Lytechinus pictus: one gene and its partner. The protein of the gene in region 2 interacts with the protein of the main gene of each other region in a pairwise test. Links are inferred from orthologs where the notes say so. Each region holds a gene or a part of one and is shown on either strand. Other genes may lie near its edges.

Region 1 (7,294 bases), on a different chromosome or scaffold from region 2:
TCACCAGAGTGCTAAAAAACTTTTTAACATATTTTTGTGAGACCCTCTAGTATTGGTGAAAGTCAGGATTGGACAATCCCTTACTCTCTTTTTAATTTAGAAAAGATAGAGAAGAATTCAAATTAACTTAGGCCTGGCTAGGGCCATGTTATATGATTAATAACTGTAATAGCAACTGACACTCAATATCAATTAATTATCATGTTCATCCCTTAGTCTTAGAACAAGAGAAAATAGGCCAAACATTGCCAATGTTATTTCACTACACAGGCCAGGGGTTTAGGACAAAATTATAACCTTGTATATCGGATAGGTGAAAATAAGACCAAGTCAAATGCCAACTAGAATTTAGAAAGGGCAGTAGAGGCGCACAGCCAATGTGGGGGACTCTCTCCAATATAGGAAAAAATCTAAAAGACAAAAGAAACAAAACAAAAAAGAACATAATTTGTTTTCTGTTTAGATAACAACGAAAAACCTTATAAAAAAAAGTAGACGATGAAAAGGGGTAATTTTTCATGAGGAATCTGCTTATCACATTTCCATTTGCTGCCAAGGTAATCCTTTTGCAGCAAATGTCAAGAATGTAAACCAAGGAAATTGGTCTCCCAAAGCCCAGCAAAGGCCAAACTGGAGCTGGAGACTGTCTCTGAAATTGGATACCCAAATTCTTTACAAAAGTAAAAAGTTTCTGATATTGCAGATGTCCCACATGGGAGACAGTCTCCCAAATTGGCTGTGCGCCTCTACTGATGAAGGGGCAAAGCATTTCTCTTTTTATCATCTCCTTTTCTGCAGCCTGGGCCCTGGATCTCCATTTAATATTTTATCTTAGGATGACAGTTAAAGGACAAGTCCACCCCAACAAAAAGTTGATTTGAATAAAAAGAGAAAAATCCAACAAGCATACATGTAAAACTGAAAATTTCATCAAAATCGGATTTATTTATACTACTAAATTTTTAAAGTCTAGAAATAGAATCAAACTCTAATTTATTCAAATCAACATTTTTCTGGGGTGGACTTGTCTTGTCTCTAGACCAAAAGCTTCGGTCTCTGTTATGTTGGTTGTTCAGCTGGGGCCCGTTTCTCAACACATGAACAAGTTAGTAATATCTTTATCCACCAACCACGGAGTTAGTTCCAATCTTACTAAACCTGTTTCTCGAAAGGCTTCCTAACTAGAATACCTTGATATCGATACTATCGGTAAAAAGAACAGACGAGACGTAGCCTTAGTCACAAAATAGCATGATTTTCAAAAAGAAAAATTATGACAAAATTGCAAATATTATGATGAATTGGGAAATAAATCTTTTCAAAATAATAGCACAGGTGAATTATGCATCATACACACTTAGACCATGAAGACTGGAGCATTCAATTGCAGAGAAAATTAAATTATGAATAATTCATTTCATGACTAAAAAATCACTTGTGGACGTTGAGGTGGATACTCCCGGGAGACCAAATTTTAATAGTTTACGAAAGTAAACCATAACGGTTTTCTTTGTAAAATGATGATAATTATACGGACTTTTACGATTCCAAACGTCATCAAAATGTAGTTTAACGAAACATTTTTAATCATTGATACTGAAAGATACGATATTGGACAAATTATATGCATAAATTAGAGATAGAATTCATCCAACTGTTAATAAGGGTCTGAAAACAACAAATACGAGTTCAGTTATGGATGGCCTGACGTGGTAGAATCTTTATCGATTAAATCATTTTACTATTTCAAAATGAATGGTTTTGTGGCGTTTACCAACAGTTTTTATAGTTTCTTTGTATTATAATTATCATTGAATGCATTAACCCACTTGTTTTGTGATGTAATTTCAACCACTATGATTGATTACGTAAGATTATAATTGTAAAATTTCTAGGCACTTTTGCATGTCATAGTCTACCCACGTAATGTCACTACGTCATTAAAAAGAAGTTAAGACAGGTTCGGAGGTGTCATAACTATTTAGTGAGGTTGTTGTACCCGATCTTGGTAAAGAGGGCTTAGTGAAACGGTTAGCGGACAAGTAGCTCACTATCTCCGATTTAGTCAAGAAGTTAGACTTATGACGGTGTTGAGAAACGGGCCCCTGAACTCCGTTGGCTTCATGCACTCACCAAATACAGAGACCGAAGTTCTAGCGCAATCTGTACAGGGAATCAATGGCCATATGTTTATGTGTATTAAGTTCGGATAAAACAGGGCAGTGAAGTTGCGCGACAGCCGAGGTAAGTCACTGTTTTTGTTCCTTTTAACTTGATTTTCCCTGTTTTTTGGCAATTAATGGCAAGAGGGAATATTAATTTGCATTTCGGTCGTGTTAATTTTCAAAAGTTTGATTCATTAAAGACAAAAATTGAAGAGCCCCAACGGGGGTATTTTGCATTGTAAGTCCCCTAATGGTGGCTGCACGATAGCGAGCCGTCTGTGACTAGACTGTGTATGAGGAGAAGTTTATAAAATAATTTTTTTTTTTAAACTCCTCGAAACAGACGGCTGCCAGCTGTCTATCTTGTCTCTAGCTCTTGACCTTTAAAGAATTAAGTTAGTGATCTTGTTACTATTATACTAGATTTGTAACCAAAATGTGCAAAAATGTTCATTACCAAATGAGATGAGACAGCTGCTGCAGAACTGCGCCTGCGATTGTCCATCCAGCGACACTACTGACTGTCTACTGTTGTACTGGCACCGGGCCCGGCCCCTGGGACGCCGAGTTCGGTTTCTCGTTGCTGCTGAGCTTTCTGCCAGAATTTAAAACCCCGCAAAAAAGTCGCAGTCACGTACACGTGGTGATTTATCTTTGGAATTTCGTCATTAGCTTGCAAAGGTAAGCCGAAAGAAGTAGACTTTTGAAATGCTTAACTTCACTCCAGTGACTCATACTAAGTCTAATGTGTATACAAATTGACTGTCCTGTCCCTAGTAAAATTGTACAAGATCGCAGCCGCGGGCCAAAACACCTTCATTGCATAATCTGAAAGGTCACACAGCTGCTGACCCTTACCGGAAGTGGATGGCAAAAGGATTTCGCGCGATTGCTGCAAAATTGAAACTTCGCCGCGAGAAATATAAAACATAAACAAACTCTGAAATCCAATAGTTCCTCGCTTTCAGGTGTCGTTTTATCGATTTACTGTATAATCCATCCTTCAAGGTAAGGCAGAGGACTCACCATGTCATAGTCGGCAAACTGGACGTGCTGTTGATAAATGTGAAAATTGAAATTAGAAAATGGTTAACGTGAGAGCACTCCCTTCGGATCTTGCACGACTTGTGCTGGGTAAGTACAGGCGCGCGCTGGCTTGGATGAAGGACTAGACGAGTAGGATGGGGGGTTGGGTGTCCGGACACGTAACAAAAACGAAGCCTTCTTTTTTGTCTTTGGATTAAACAAAAACTGTGCATTGATTAGTGCTAATCATCATCAATATTTGTTCTCTATGAATTGTATGATATTGTATAGGCCTAATGTTGTAAATCGGATCAAAAATCAGATCGAAAATCGGATCGGCAGTTAAGCTTCTAAAATCGAAATCGAATCGAAAATCGAATCGGCGATGTTTAAAAACAAAGGAATAATGACATCAAAATGTTGTTCGCGGTCGTGTGCATCTTCCTGACAAAGTCACAAAGACGAATGCATTGGAATGGAAGTCGCCAACATTGAACATGCGCGATCATTTGGAACATGTTTTAAAGCAAGGGGTTTTGAGGTGTTATTGCTTTAAAATAAACCGAGTGATTTTTATTAGAAAGATAAACGAAAGACGCATCTTCCGAGCAAAGGCGCAAAGGAAAATAAAATGAAAATATTTCTCATAGATCACAGGTTAATGAACGATCGGCGGGACATCTTTTAGAAGTATTTTTAGGTGCTAGCGATTTAGAATTATTGGAATGATCTCTTACGACGCATCATCTTAAAGTCGCAAGTGCAATTAAAATGAAGTAGAAGACGCAAGCACGCACGATGATTTGAAATATGTTATTAAAATGTTTTGGGTAGCTAGCGTTTTCAAATCAATTTGAAGTTCACGGCGGGGTCCGCTATCACCACGAGGTTGAAGAGAAGATGTCTATCATCAAAAAAGGGGGTAAGAGAGTAGCGCAGTGAGCTCCGTCGGTAATACGACCTTTAAAAGTTCAAGGCGGCATCCGCTATCACCACGAGATTAAAAATAAAATGTATATCATCATAAACGATGTAAGAGAGTAACGCAATAAGCTCCGTCAATAGTACAGCAAGGCTCCACATTAACTTTTTTTGGTGGTGGCCCGTTCGGGCCACCAAAACCATTATATGATTTTTTTTGGTGGCCCGATATTAAAGTTTGGTGGCCCGAAAAATATAAAGAAAAACATTAAAAATGAATAAAACAAACTTCCGAAATATTAATTCTGCAGCCACTACCAGTACCACTATGTTACTTTTACTTTATACATCTTGTATGTAAACCTTGTTCGCTGTTATTTTACTTTGCTAATTGATAAATGTTTCTATCATGGTAAACATGAAATGATTGAAAGAGAATAAATGAATTGTATTGTTCGCAGGTTGTGTGGACTTTTTTTAAAATCTCTGTATAGAGATAATGGTAAAGTAAATAAATAGTGCATAGCAAATTCAGATAGATACATGTACAAAACAATGGTTTTTCCTTCCTTCCTCTTTGAATCCTAAAACCTAGATTATGCATGCCCCAAATCCAGTTTATTTCTGTTTTCTCTTTTGCAGCATATTATAGAAGGAGAAAATCACAGAAAAATATGCTGCAAAATTAGAACAATGCATAAAAGGGGGAAACAAACGAAAATAATTTTCATAAAGTATATTACAAAAAGAAAACAAAAATAATAAAAGAAATTAGTGAAATAAAACAAAAGAAAGAAAATGAAGAAAGAAAAAAACAAAGAACAGGGAAAAAAAGAAAAATAGAAAAGAAAAAAATTAGAGAGAAAAAAGAAAAGAAAATGAAAGAAAAATTAATAAAACAAACTTAATAAAAAAATGGGGAAAAGGGGAAAATTAAGAAGCCATTACATATATTTTTAAACAGCTGTGGCAACAGTCTATTCTGACTGGAATATAATTATTTAAAGCCAAGCAAATAATTTTCACTTACTTTTTGGGAATGGCACATTTTTATTTTTATATCCTTTAGTTTGTATTATTTCATTTTCAGTAGAAACATATTTTTTAATCAGGCATATTCAATGGGAAGGGGTATAAATGGTTTAACCACTGTCAAAAAAATGAAAGGAAAAAAAATATGAAAACGGCAAAAATTATATCTGGTGATTCTGGATAAAAAGTGTGAGAAAAGTCCTTCCCTATATTTGCCAAAATGTTGGGGAAAAAATCACATTTCATATCAATGAAATGCCTTCCCAAAGTATTTACTTTCTCAAGAGTGGTTTAAGAAGTCATTTATAAACAAGAAAGAAAGAAACTGTTTGTTTTTGGCTAGAAAATACACAGCTTCGAAAGAAACCAAGTATCAACATACATACAAATGCACACGTGGGACTGTGATGTACTTGCCTATGTGTTTTTATGTGTATTAATTCATGTGGAAATCGGTCTTTTTGAGTCAAAAGAGAGGTCATAATTCCTCTTCTTAATACTTGCAAATAATCAGGGTCCACCAGATTTTCGTAATATAGACTGTAGAATTGCATTTCATTGGTGTAAAATGTGACTTTGACTGAGATTTTCAAAGTTCTGTGGAAGATTTCTCAGCAGCAACATTTTTTATCGCAGCTCCCCGAGTCTGAATAGGCTGAGCTAGATCTAGAGCACAGCTGTATGCAGTGGCTTCATGCAAAGCTCACGCCAGCCGGCCGGTGCGTCTGGCTGGATAATAGCTACTGAATGCTATAGCTGTAGGCCTAATATGCAAACTTTGTGTGTGTGTATTTGTGTGTAGATCAACAAAAAGGGCGCATGACGAACTGGCTTGCAATTTGAGCTGTAGAAAGTTGATAAATGCGTGCAAAATTGGGAGAAAAATTGCGCTACTTTGAAAATTATTGGTGGCCCGATTCGGGCCACCAAAACTTAACATTTTATCAATAATGGTTGCCCGAGGTGAATTTTTGGTGGCCCCGGGCCACCGGGCCACCGCTAATGTCGAGCCTTGAGTACAGTCTTTAAAAGTTTATGGCGGGGTCCGCTATCACCACGAGGTTGAAGAGAAGATTTATATCATTATAAAGGGGGTTTAGGAAATTGGCTATACAATCTCCTAATATTTATATAAAAGTTAGGTCCTACCTTAATTCTTGCTCGCCAGAAGATAGAATGGGGTCCAGCCGCTCAGAATCTCAGGTAAATTGCACAAATCCGTGAATAGAAATATATACACTTCACAATTTCAAATAGATTAGAAAAAAGGGACAGATGTCACAAAATGTCTCGCGAAGTAATGAGCTCATTAAATATGCAGAGGATATAGACTTCGAATGAGTGGAAGTGACGGTAAGGAATAAGATTGGAAAATGCAGAGAAATAATTAAGTATAAGCTGATCCTCCACAAGATTTGATTCAATCCTCACTAGCAGCTGGATGAGATGGTCAGCATGAGTGGACAGGACGAAGGCAGAGAGTAGAGTGATGATGTGGTAGAGAAAACAAGTTGTTTTTACCAACATCAGAAAAGATGAGACAAAGAAATAAGCGCCAAAAAGAGGACAAAACACAGTTGAGAAGAACAAAGAGGAGAGAAGCAGACTGTGAGAAAAGCAAACATGCGAGCATCTCTGTAGTGATGTTGTATACCTGCAAGTTTATTGCAATAAACAAGGAACAATGAAAGGATGTTTGCTCCAAGTCTAGGAACAAAAGAAAGGTTGTTTCTCAATATAAGAATGTGTTTGCCAAGTAGATTTGGACAGAAAATGAGTTGGCTTGCTCTGTGAATGTACAGTATTGTAGTAAATACACATGGCGTGAACAAGTGAGAATATATGAAATTGGAAATAAAAGAAAGAATTTATATACATATACAGAATGTTGAAATATAAATGAAAATATATACAAGGAAAGAATATATAGATGTAGATATATAAAAAGATATAGTCAAGTCACTACAGTAGCTCCCCCCTAGATTTGTACCGAATAGAAATGTAGTAACAAATCGACAAGGGAAAGTAAAAGTGAACTTGGCTATATAAAACAAGAAAATAAAAGGAGTGGAAACATCAGTTAATTTTGAGAAATGTTTCAACCGTCTCCGAAAAATTGAACGTACTTGGCAGGAAACCTGACATGGCGA
Region 2 (7,935 bases):
CTACGTCAACAAAATGTTGAAAGTGCCATATTTCATAGCTTTCTCGATATAATTCAAAGTAAACCACCGTTATAGCACACTGGCAAGCCATGGGTGTCGATTGGTAGCCTATTCATGGTTGGGGGATGTTTTGTTCTCTTGTGAGGGAATTTTGTTATTTTTCTATTTCTAGTCTAGTTTGGGCAGAGGTCAGTCGCGTAATGAGTCAGAAGTCTTAGGGCCAAGACATGACAAAAGGGCAAAATTTTGAAATTGTTGTGTGCAAGGGAAGCGAGCGAGCAAAAAATAGCCTTTTCAATACATAAATCAATTTGTTTTGACAGGTTTAAGACATATATCATATCAAAATCCGTTGCAAATATTTTATCTATAAAATGTATTGAAAATTTAGCTCTCTCGCTTCCCTCGCTCACAGCATTTTAAAATTAATTTTGCCCTTTGTCATGTCTTGCATCTAAAACTTTAGACTCATTACGCCACTGACCTCCATCCAAACTAAAATTAAAAGATTAAAAAATCCCTCACAAGATACTTGTTGTAAATTGTAGTAGTAATCCCTTTGGCAGCTCATACAGAAGCTATACTGGGATGATGAATAAAGTGAGCCACTGGAAGGAGTGTCATGAAGTGCAGATATGGTGATGGATAGACATACCAATATTGCATATGTACAGTAAAACATGCTACGCTGAGTGCAAGTAAAATCCAAGCTTCTGACTTTAAATCATATGGGATCCAACAGGGGGCTGCATCATTCTGATGGCAGGGAGAGCAGCCCTCTTGAAAGAGAAGAAAACAGCCCCCAAAAGGCCCAAGTTCCCAACCTAGACCAAAAGCTTCGGTCTTTGCTATATTGGTTGTTCAGCTGAACTCCGTTGGCTCCACTCACCAATTACAGAGACCGAAGGTTAGTTCTAACTCGATCTGTACAGGGACTCAATGGCCATATGTATAAAGTTCTGATAAACCAGGGAAGTGGGAGTTGAGCGACAGCCGAAGTAAGTCAGTTTTTTGTTTCTTTTAAGTTTATATTTTTCCTGTTTTGGTGCATTTCAGGCCAAAACGGAATAATAATCTTTATTTTGGTCCAGTTCTTTTTATATATTTTTATGAAATAAAGAAAAAAAATTGATGAGCCCGGTCAGGAAGATTTTGCATTGTTAACCCCCTAATTGCGGCTGCATGATCGCGAGCCGTCTGTGTACGACTCGAGGAGAAATAAAAAATAAATATTGAAAAACTCCTCGAAACAGACGGCTGCCAGCTGTCTACCACTCTACCCCCAACCATGAATACAGATCGACACCGATGACTTGCCAGTGTGTAGATCTAGACCTAGACCAAAAGCTTCAGTCTCTGTATTTTGGTTGTTCCGCTGAACTACGTTGGCTCCACTCACCATACATAGACTGAAGGGGATGGGGCCCCGTACCTACAGCCAACGTATAGTGAACTAGCGTTTTATAGATCGCGATTTAAAACTGTTTTTTAAGCAAAATTGAAAGTTTCATGGTTTCCATTATCAGGGAAATATAAAAAACTTAAGTAATTGCATACCTTGGGCTGGAGTTATTGAAAAAAATCCTCTGGATGATTGAGAAATCTGTCATCTAAGACATTTTCACCTGACCTGACGGTTTTTCTTGCAAGTTGCCATCTTGAATGACGTCATTATCGTTATTAACTTAATGTCTCGAATCGATATATCGCGATTATAACTAGTACTAGTACTAGTATAACTAGTATCGTTTATCTTCGGTTTCGTTCGCATATGGAGCAGATCGTATAATATCGAAAGCAATATCGATATCACATTCGTGATTGTTGACGTTCGTTCGTAAATATTTTATAGTTTGGCTGCCATTTTGACCATTTTTATCGTGTTCAACCCAATTAAACATCAGTAAAGTATATTTTTCATGCCTTTTTCATCTATATCGTTTAAAGTATTAAAACATTGAAATATCAAGGTCTAAAAGTTTGTTGTTTATACATCCTTAGATTGTAAATTCGATGTGTAAAATTACATCAAACTTTGGACTGTGAATTGACAAAAGGGAGGGAATGAGAACACATGCGAGCCCACACGTACACCCTACCGTCGGTAAATGGGGATTACAGTAAAATGTCAGAAATTGTTGAATAAATCCCCAGAAACGACGGTTATTCCTGTCTAATCTAGACCTAACGTTAGAACCTATTTCTACTAAACATGCTAAACAGTGTTTTATGTACGTCGTTAGACTACTTTGAATTCTATCTAGATAATTAGAGTAGAGTAGTAGACTCTATATGAAATATGGCGCTTTCAATTTCATAGTTTCAAGATGCCTGATGAGTGATGCTCTTTATAATTATAGTTCAATATTGCATATTTGGTGAGCGAAAGCAAATCAGCGGGTCGACGTCAATTTAGACAGACGTCATGACAGAGCTAAAAGCTTACTAATTATACTAGTAGTAGTAATAATAACCTCGCAATACGTGTGTAAAATAAAAATAAATTGTCTAAAATTTAAAAAGCGTGTTGCAATTTGCTTTTCATGTTTTTAAAAACAGAACCAGGCACAGACAGAGCTATTGCCATTTTTCTTTTTCATGACTGAAACAGAAAAACAACAAATTGGAACGGAAATAAGAGCGTAAAAAATGGGGCTCCCCTCCGCGGCACATACCGTACCCACCAAGCATATACTGAGTGCCCCCCCCCCCCTCCCGGGCTAAGAGTCCGAAGTCAAGGCCTTGCGAATTAACGTTAATCGTCCATCCACGAGAACGAAATGTGATTGTGAACCATATTCAACAGTTCAAGTAGCCTTGACCGTAAAGACTCTATACTATCATATTTGTCAATAATAACACTTCCACTGACTTACTAAACATGCTACAGGCAGTGATAAATGCCGATTAAAGATTTTCAGGCGTTTCAGAGTCCGCTCCTCCATCGAGTCCATGTTTGTGAAGACTGCACAGGAGCTTTTTAATACAGTTTTGATACGTACGTACGTATACCGCGCGCTGCGAACGTAATGTTATGGAAAGCCACCATTGCCATTTTACCTTATTTTCAAGCCTGTTGAATACGGTATGGGGGTGAATACCTAGCCTCTTGTCGAGGCCCTGTCGGCTGCTTTCCGAGCGAACATGGCACGGGAGAGAGCGAAGCAGAGGGAGCAGAGCGCCGCGAGACAGGGCCTCTTGACATCTGTGCCGAATTTCACCGACTTTCTTTTGGTTTTTGTTGTTTTTACCAATTCACCGACCAAAAACTGGTCGGTGAAAATCATCCAATGAGAGCGCGAGCTGCTATGACGTCATATTAAATATTCATGAGCTCCTCTTGAATGGCGACCCTTTGATTCTTGGCGAAGAGTGACGACGAAATATCAAAGAGCACTGAATATGCCTCTAAAACGCTGAATATTTACCGATTTAAGGATTTGCAAGTCGATGAAATTAACTCTGCAGTGAAAGGACGAGATGTCTTTGTAAATCTACCCACAGGATATGGAAAAAATGTAATATTTCATGCGATTCCACCGGTCGATCCGGGGCGTCGATTATCGATCTCCGCTGTGCAGTGCAGTGAGGGAAGCTGGGGTGGAGTTGCTGGGAGTTGACTCGAGTCTGACCAGCGGCTGGGCAGTATCTCCCGGGAAGTTTCGGGGCGGTGATGGGTCTGTTACGGCCAGTAGTAATAGTAGTAGTAGTAGTACCACTACATTTTGCTGGTTATATCCCCTTTAGTGTCCCGCAATTAAATGAATCCCCTGCAGAATAGTGGACTATTATATAGTAATTCCGAACCCAAGACGAAACAGCTCTGACATTTCATTGGTTTACTCGGTGACCGGTAATATCATGACTCATGTATATTCATTAGGACGACGTTCCTCATGAATATATAATTCAGTTCAGATGTCAAGAGGCCCCGGGGGCGAAATTATTTTTCCCACCGAGTTCTGGACCAACATATGAATATTCATGACTTGCGTCTTCGGTTTGAGAGTACGCATGCGCGTGGACTTGCGCCTCGACCAGCTAGTGCCGGTCGTAAGCATTCACGTTGCTCAGAATGAATTAGCATCGTCAAATTACCGGTACCCTTAAGGACGTTGCACAGTTATGTTTGTGCGCATTATGATCTGCGCATAGTTTACACTCTACGCGCTGACGTCACAATGGATGAACAGGTGATTAATTAGCTCTGGGTTTGAAGCTGATTTTTCTCATCTCCTGCACTTTAACTGCAGATCTGATGTGTTATTTCATGAAGCTAAAAATGGAATTATTCCATTAACCATTCAAAAAATAAATTCTCTACGATTTCAAAATACTTTACTCTGCAGTGCTGCCAAGAATCACGAATATTACCCCGAGATCGAATAAATGATAGAGTGGTTTTGATTTTTTCTTCACATAGATACAAAGCATTCGGCGCATTTTTGGTGTTTTAAAAAGCACATTTGCTCTAATAAAAATGCTGATAGTTTAAAAACAAGCACATGAACCCCTATTTTTTAATGTTTGTATCTCTTAGGTATACCTTTCTCTACAACTCTGCAAATTTTTGTGAAAATGACATGGATTTTGAATAATGTGCAGCATTTATTGTACGTTAGTAGTTTGTTACTGAAATTTTACATTTTTTAGATTGGGATTTTGTTATCTTTTACGCCATTTAAGAACTTACAGTGCTGTTAAGCTTAAAATTGCAAACAAATTGCACTATAAATAGATTCTCCATTCTAACGATACAATCTAAGCACTTTTTGTATTAATAAATGGGATATGTATGTAACTAAACAATTGATGCGAGCGCGAAGTGCGAGAGGAAGAAATTTGAGATTTTAGACCTTAAAGCAGGACACTCTATTCATTTTTGTAATCATAAATATGATATAGTTAATTGGTATCATTAATAATGCGATTGTAAAGCGTGAGCAGACATTCTTGATATTCTGATGTGAAACTGGATAATTTAAGTACATTTTAAATAAAGAACATGCAGGCTATCGCGCATGTTTTAGATTTAGACCTAGAATCTGGGCATTCTGAATACATTTGTTTAATGGAACATTATGGAATACACGTAGACATTTTGAACTTGGCAAATCAAACAATGTGGCCACGCAGCATGAGCTTAAAATATGTAGACCATAAAATGGACATTTTACAGAGCACTTAAATTTGTAAATAAAAAAAAATAATGAAAGCTCGAACGAAGTCCGAGCTAAAATATGTTTTTTATATTGATTTAAAAATTTGTTCCATATCAGCCTATTGAGCAAGATATGAATCTCATCGAACAGGCAATTCTGGCACAAAGCGCAAGCATAGTAACATGAAATATTTTTTTTTCAAGTCTTCCCCTCACATTATTTCATTCACTCGCCTTCCTCCCCTTATTTTCCTCTTCTTTTGTTTTCTTCTGTCTTTATTCTTCTTTTCTTTTTTCTTTTCTTCTTTCCCCTTTTTTTGCTCTGCCAATTTTTTTTGTGGGGGGGGGGGGTGCACACCGATTCTCAGGGGGGCACGTGCCCCCTGCACCCCCCGTAGCTACGCCACTGATGCACTGGCGTACCTAAGATTTTCCAAAAGGGGGGAAAATTTTTTGGAGGATATTTCTCAGTGGGGGGGGCACGTCCCCTGAATCAGTTGTGATTCGTCAGAGGGGCAGTCTGCCCCCCCCCCCTTGGTAAACTAGTGGTTCCATGCTGATACAGCGTAGATCAGAGTCTAGATCTAGAGACTAGACTCGAACTAAGATAATTTTTTTAGACCTAGGACTGGTTTTGTATACGGACTAGACAAACCATGGAAAATAAGCTAACATTTGTCTAAACCTAATTAAACGTAAAGTTCGGTATTAACCAGTTCGAATTTAACCATGGCATATTGGCATTAGTCGGCTATTCAGCGTTGTAGTCAAGGCTCAAACCTCCAAGGCCAAGGCTTCAATACCAAAGGCCACGGCGTGGAAACCCAAGGCCAAGGCCTGAAAACCTCACGGCCAAGGCATTTCAAATTTACGATATACAGAACAATGAACTAACAATACTTAGGCGGCAGACAACACACATAGTAAAATGTATGTGAGCGAGGGGACTGAGCAAGAAAAAAATTAACCTTTGCACATTTAAAACAAAAATAATTTCATGATGGAGATATATTAAAATAATTATAGTTACCTGTGTACACATAATCCATAATTTTTCTAGGCGATTACATGTATTTTCAAAATGAGATTATGAACTGCGTGAAGTAATTGTGTGTTTTGTAGAAATTAAGTTGAACAAAGGCTTTCTAAAATGATTTTTAATTATGAGATATATATTTTGATTTAGGTTTTGCTTCTCAGTGACAAAGCCTTGCGAGCAAGCGGTTTTGAAAAAAAAATCAATTCTGAAGTTGTAAAACTTGATTTATGGTCAATTATGGGGCTAAGCATCCTTGCGCAATGTTGCCAGCGCAAACCACCAGCTAAAACTTCTTGACATGTCGTGTAATAAGACATGGAAATTAAATATTCTGAGCTGGTTTTGTAATCATGAAAAAGATGTCTATCTAACTAAAAAATAACTTTACGCTAGCTAAATTTTTTTGATATACTGACCAGTAAAGGAAGCAGTTAATTACTGCATTTTAAATAGGATACATACTCACCAATAAAAATAATGCGAGCGCAAAACGCGAGCTCAAAAATTTGTGATATTCCAACCTGAAAACTGGACATTCTCAGCATTTTTTTTGTGAACGGAAAGAGAACGAGTACAATAATTGATGCGAGTGCAGGAAGCAAGCCAAAAATTTGTGATATTCCAACCATAAAGCAACATTTTATACATTTTTGTAACCATGAGCAGGATTAGTACTGCATGTACTAAACAATAATTGATGCAAGCACGATTCAAAATCTGTGATTTTCGAACCTAAAATGTATTATGTTTTATTATTAAATAAGGTATATTTCCTTTAAAAAAAGGGCATATTTCATTTGAAAAAAAAAATCCTACAGGGAATTTTTATTTAGGGGGGGGGGGACAAGAGAGCACAAAGCGCAAGCTAAAATTTTCAAATGCTTAAACTGAAAATGAATCATTTTTAGGACTCTTGTCAGTTTTCATATTTTTTCTGCTTACAACCACTTTTATATTTTAATTCTCATTTCTTGTATCTTCTACACTTATTATACCTTAAAAAACAGAATAAAGAATACTAACAAAATAATAAAGTTATATTCAAAAGGTTATAAAAGAAACAGGGCGCACCACATACCCTTAGTTAGGAGAGGGTAAATCTTAATTATTTTTTTAAGCAGTTAATCAATCATTAATACTTACTGATAATATTAATAATTATTAATTATACCATTATTATTTTTCTTATTAATTATTATTTCTTGAAACCATATTGACACAAAAACAAATACGTTGCTATATATATAGATCTAAGCCTGTGAGGCCTATGTAACCGGTAATTTGACGATGCTAATTCATTCTGAGCAACTAAACGTGAATGCTTACGACCGGCACTGGTCGAGGCAAAGTCCACGCGCATGCGTACTCTTAATCCGAAGACGCAATTCATGAATATTCATATGTTGGTCCAGAACTCGGTGGGAAAAATAATTTCGCGCCCCGGGGCCCGTTTCTCAACACCTGGACAAGTTAGTCATATCTTTATCCACCAACCACGGAGTTAGTTCCAATCTTACTATACCTGTTTCACGAAAGGCTTCCTAACTAGAATACCTTGATATCGATACTATTGGTAAAAAGAGCAGACGAGACGTAGCCTTAGTCACAAAATAGCATAATTTTCAAAAAGAAAAATTATGACAAAATTGCAAATATTGTGATAAATTGGGGAATACATCTTTTCAAAATAATAGCACAAGTAAATTATGCATCATACATACTTAGACAATGAAGA

The links. The genes of interacting proteins can lie anywhere in the genome.
Region 1: the proteins of phytanoyl-CoA dioxygenase, peroxisomal-like (region 2) and peroxisomal targeting signal 2 receptor-like interact in a two-hybrid assay, tested with the Homo sapiens proteins (2 studies listed by BioGRID, with this or other methods). The link is inferred for Lytechinus pictus from reciprocal best matches to the Homo sapiens genes PHYH and PEX7.

Annotation. Positions count from the first base shown.
Region 1 is NC_087248.1:6,724,450-6,731,743, forward strand, and holds the start of peroxisomal targeting signal 2 receptor-like, read right to left. Parts: upstream 3,015-7,294; 5' UTR 2,623-3,014; intron 1-2,622. UniProt on the Homo sapiens protein: Receptor required for the peroxisomal import of proteins containing a C-terminal PTS2-type peroxisomal targeting signal. Specifically binds to cargo proteins containing a PTS2 peroxisomal targeting signal in the cytosol.
Region 2 is NC_087251.1:22,709,564-22,717,498, forward strand, and holds the start of phytanoyl-CoA dioxygenase, peroxisomal-like, read right to left. Parts: upstream 3,018-7,935; 5' UTR 2,955-3,017; coding exon 2,877-2,954; intron 1-2,876. UniProt on the Homo sapiens protein: Catalyzes the 2-hydroxylation of not only racemic phytanoyl-CoA and the isomers of 3-methylhexadecanoyl-CoA, but also a variety of other mono-branched 3-methylacyl-CoA esters (with a chain length of at least seven carbon atoms) and straight-chain acyl-CoA esters (with a chain length longer than four carbon atoms).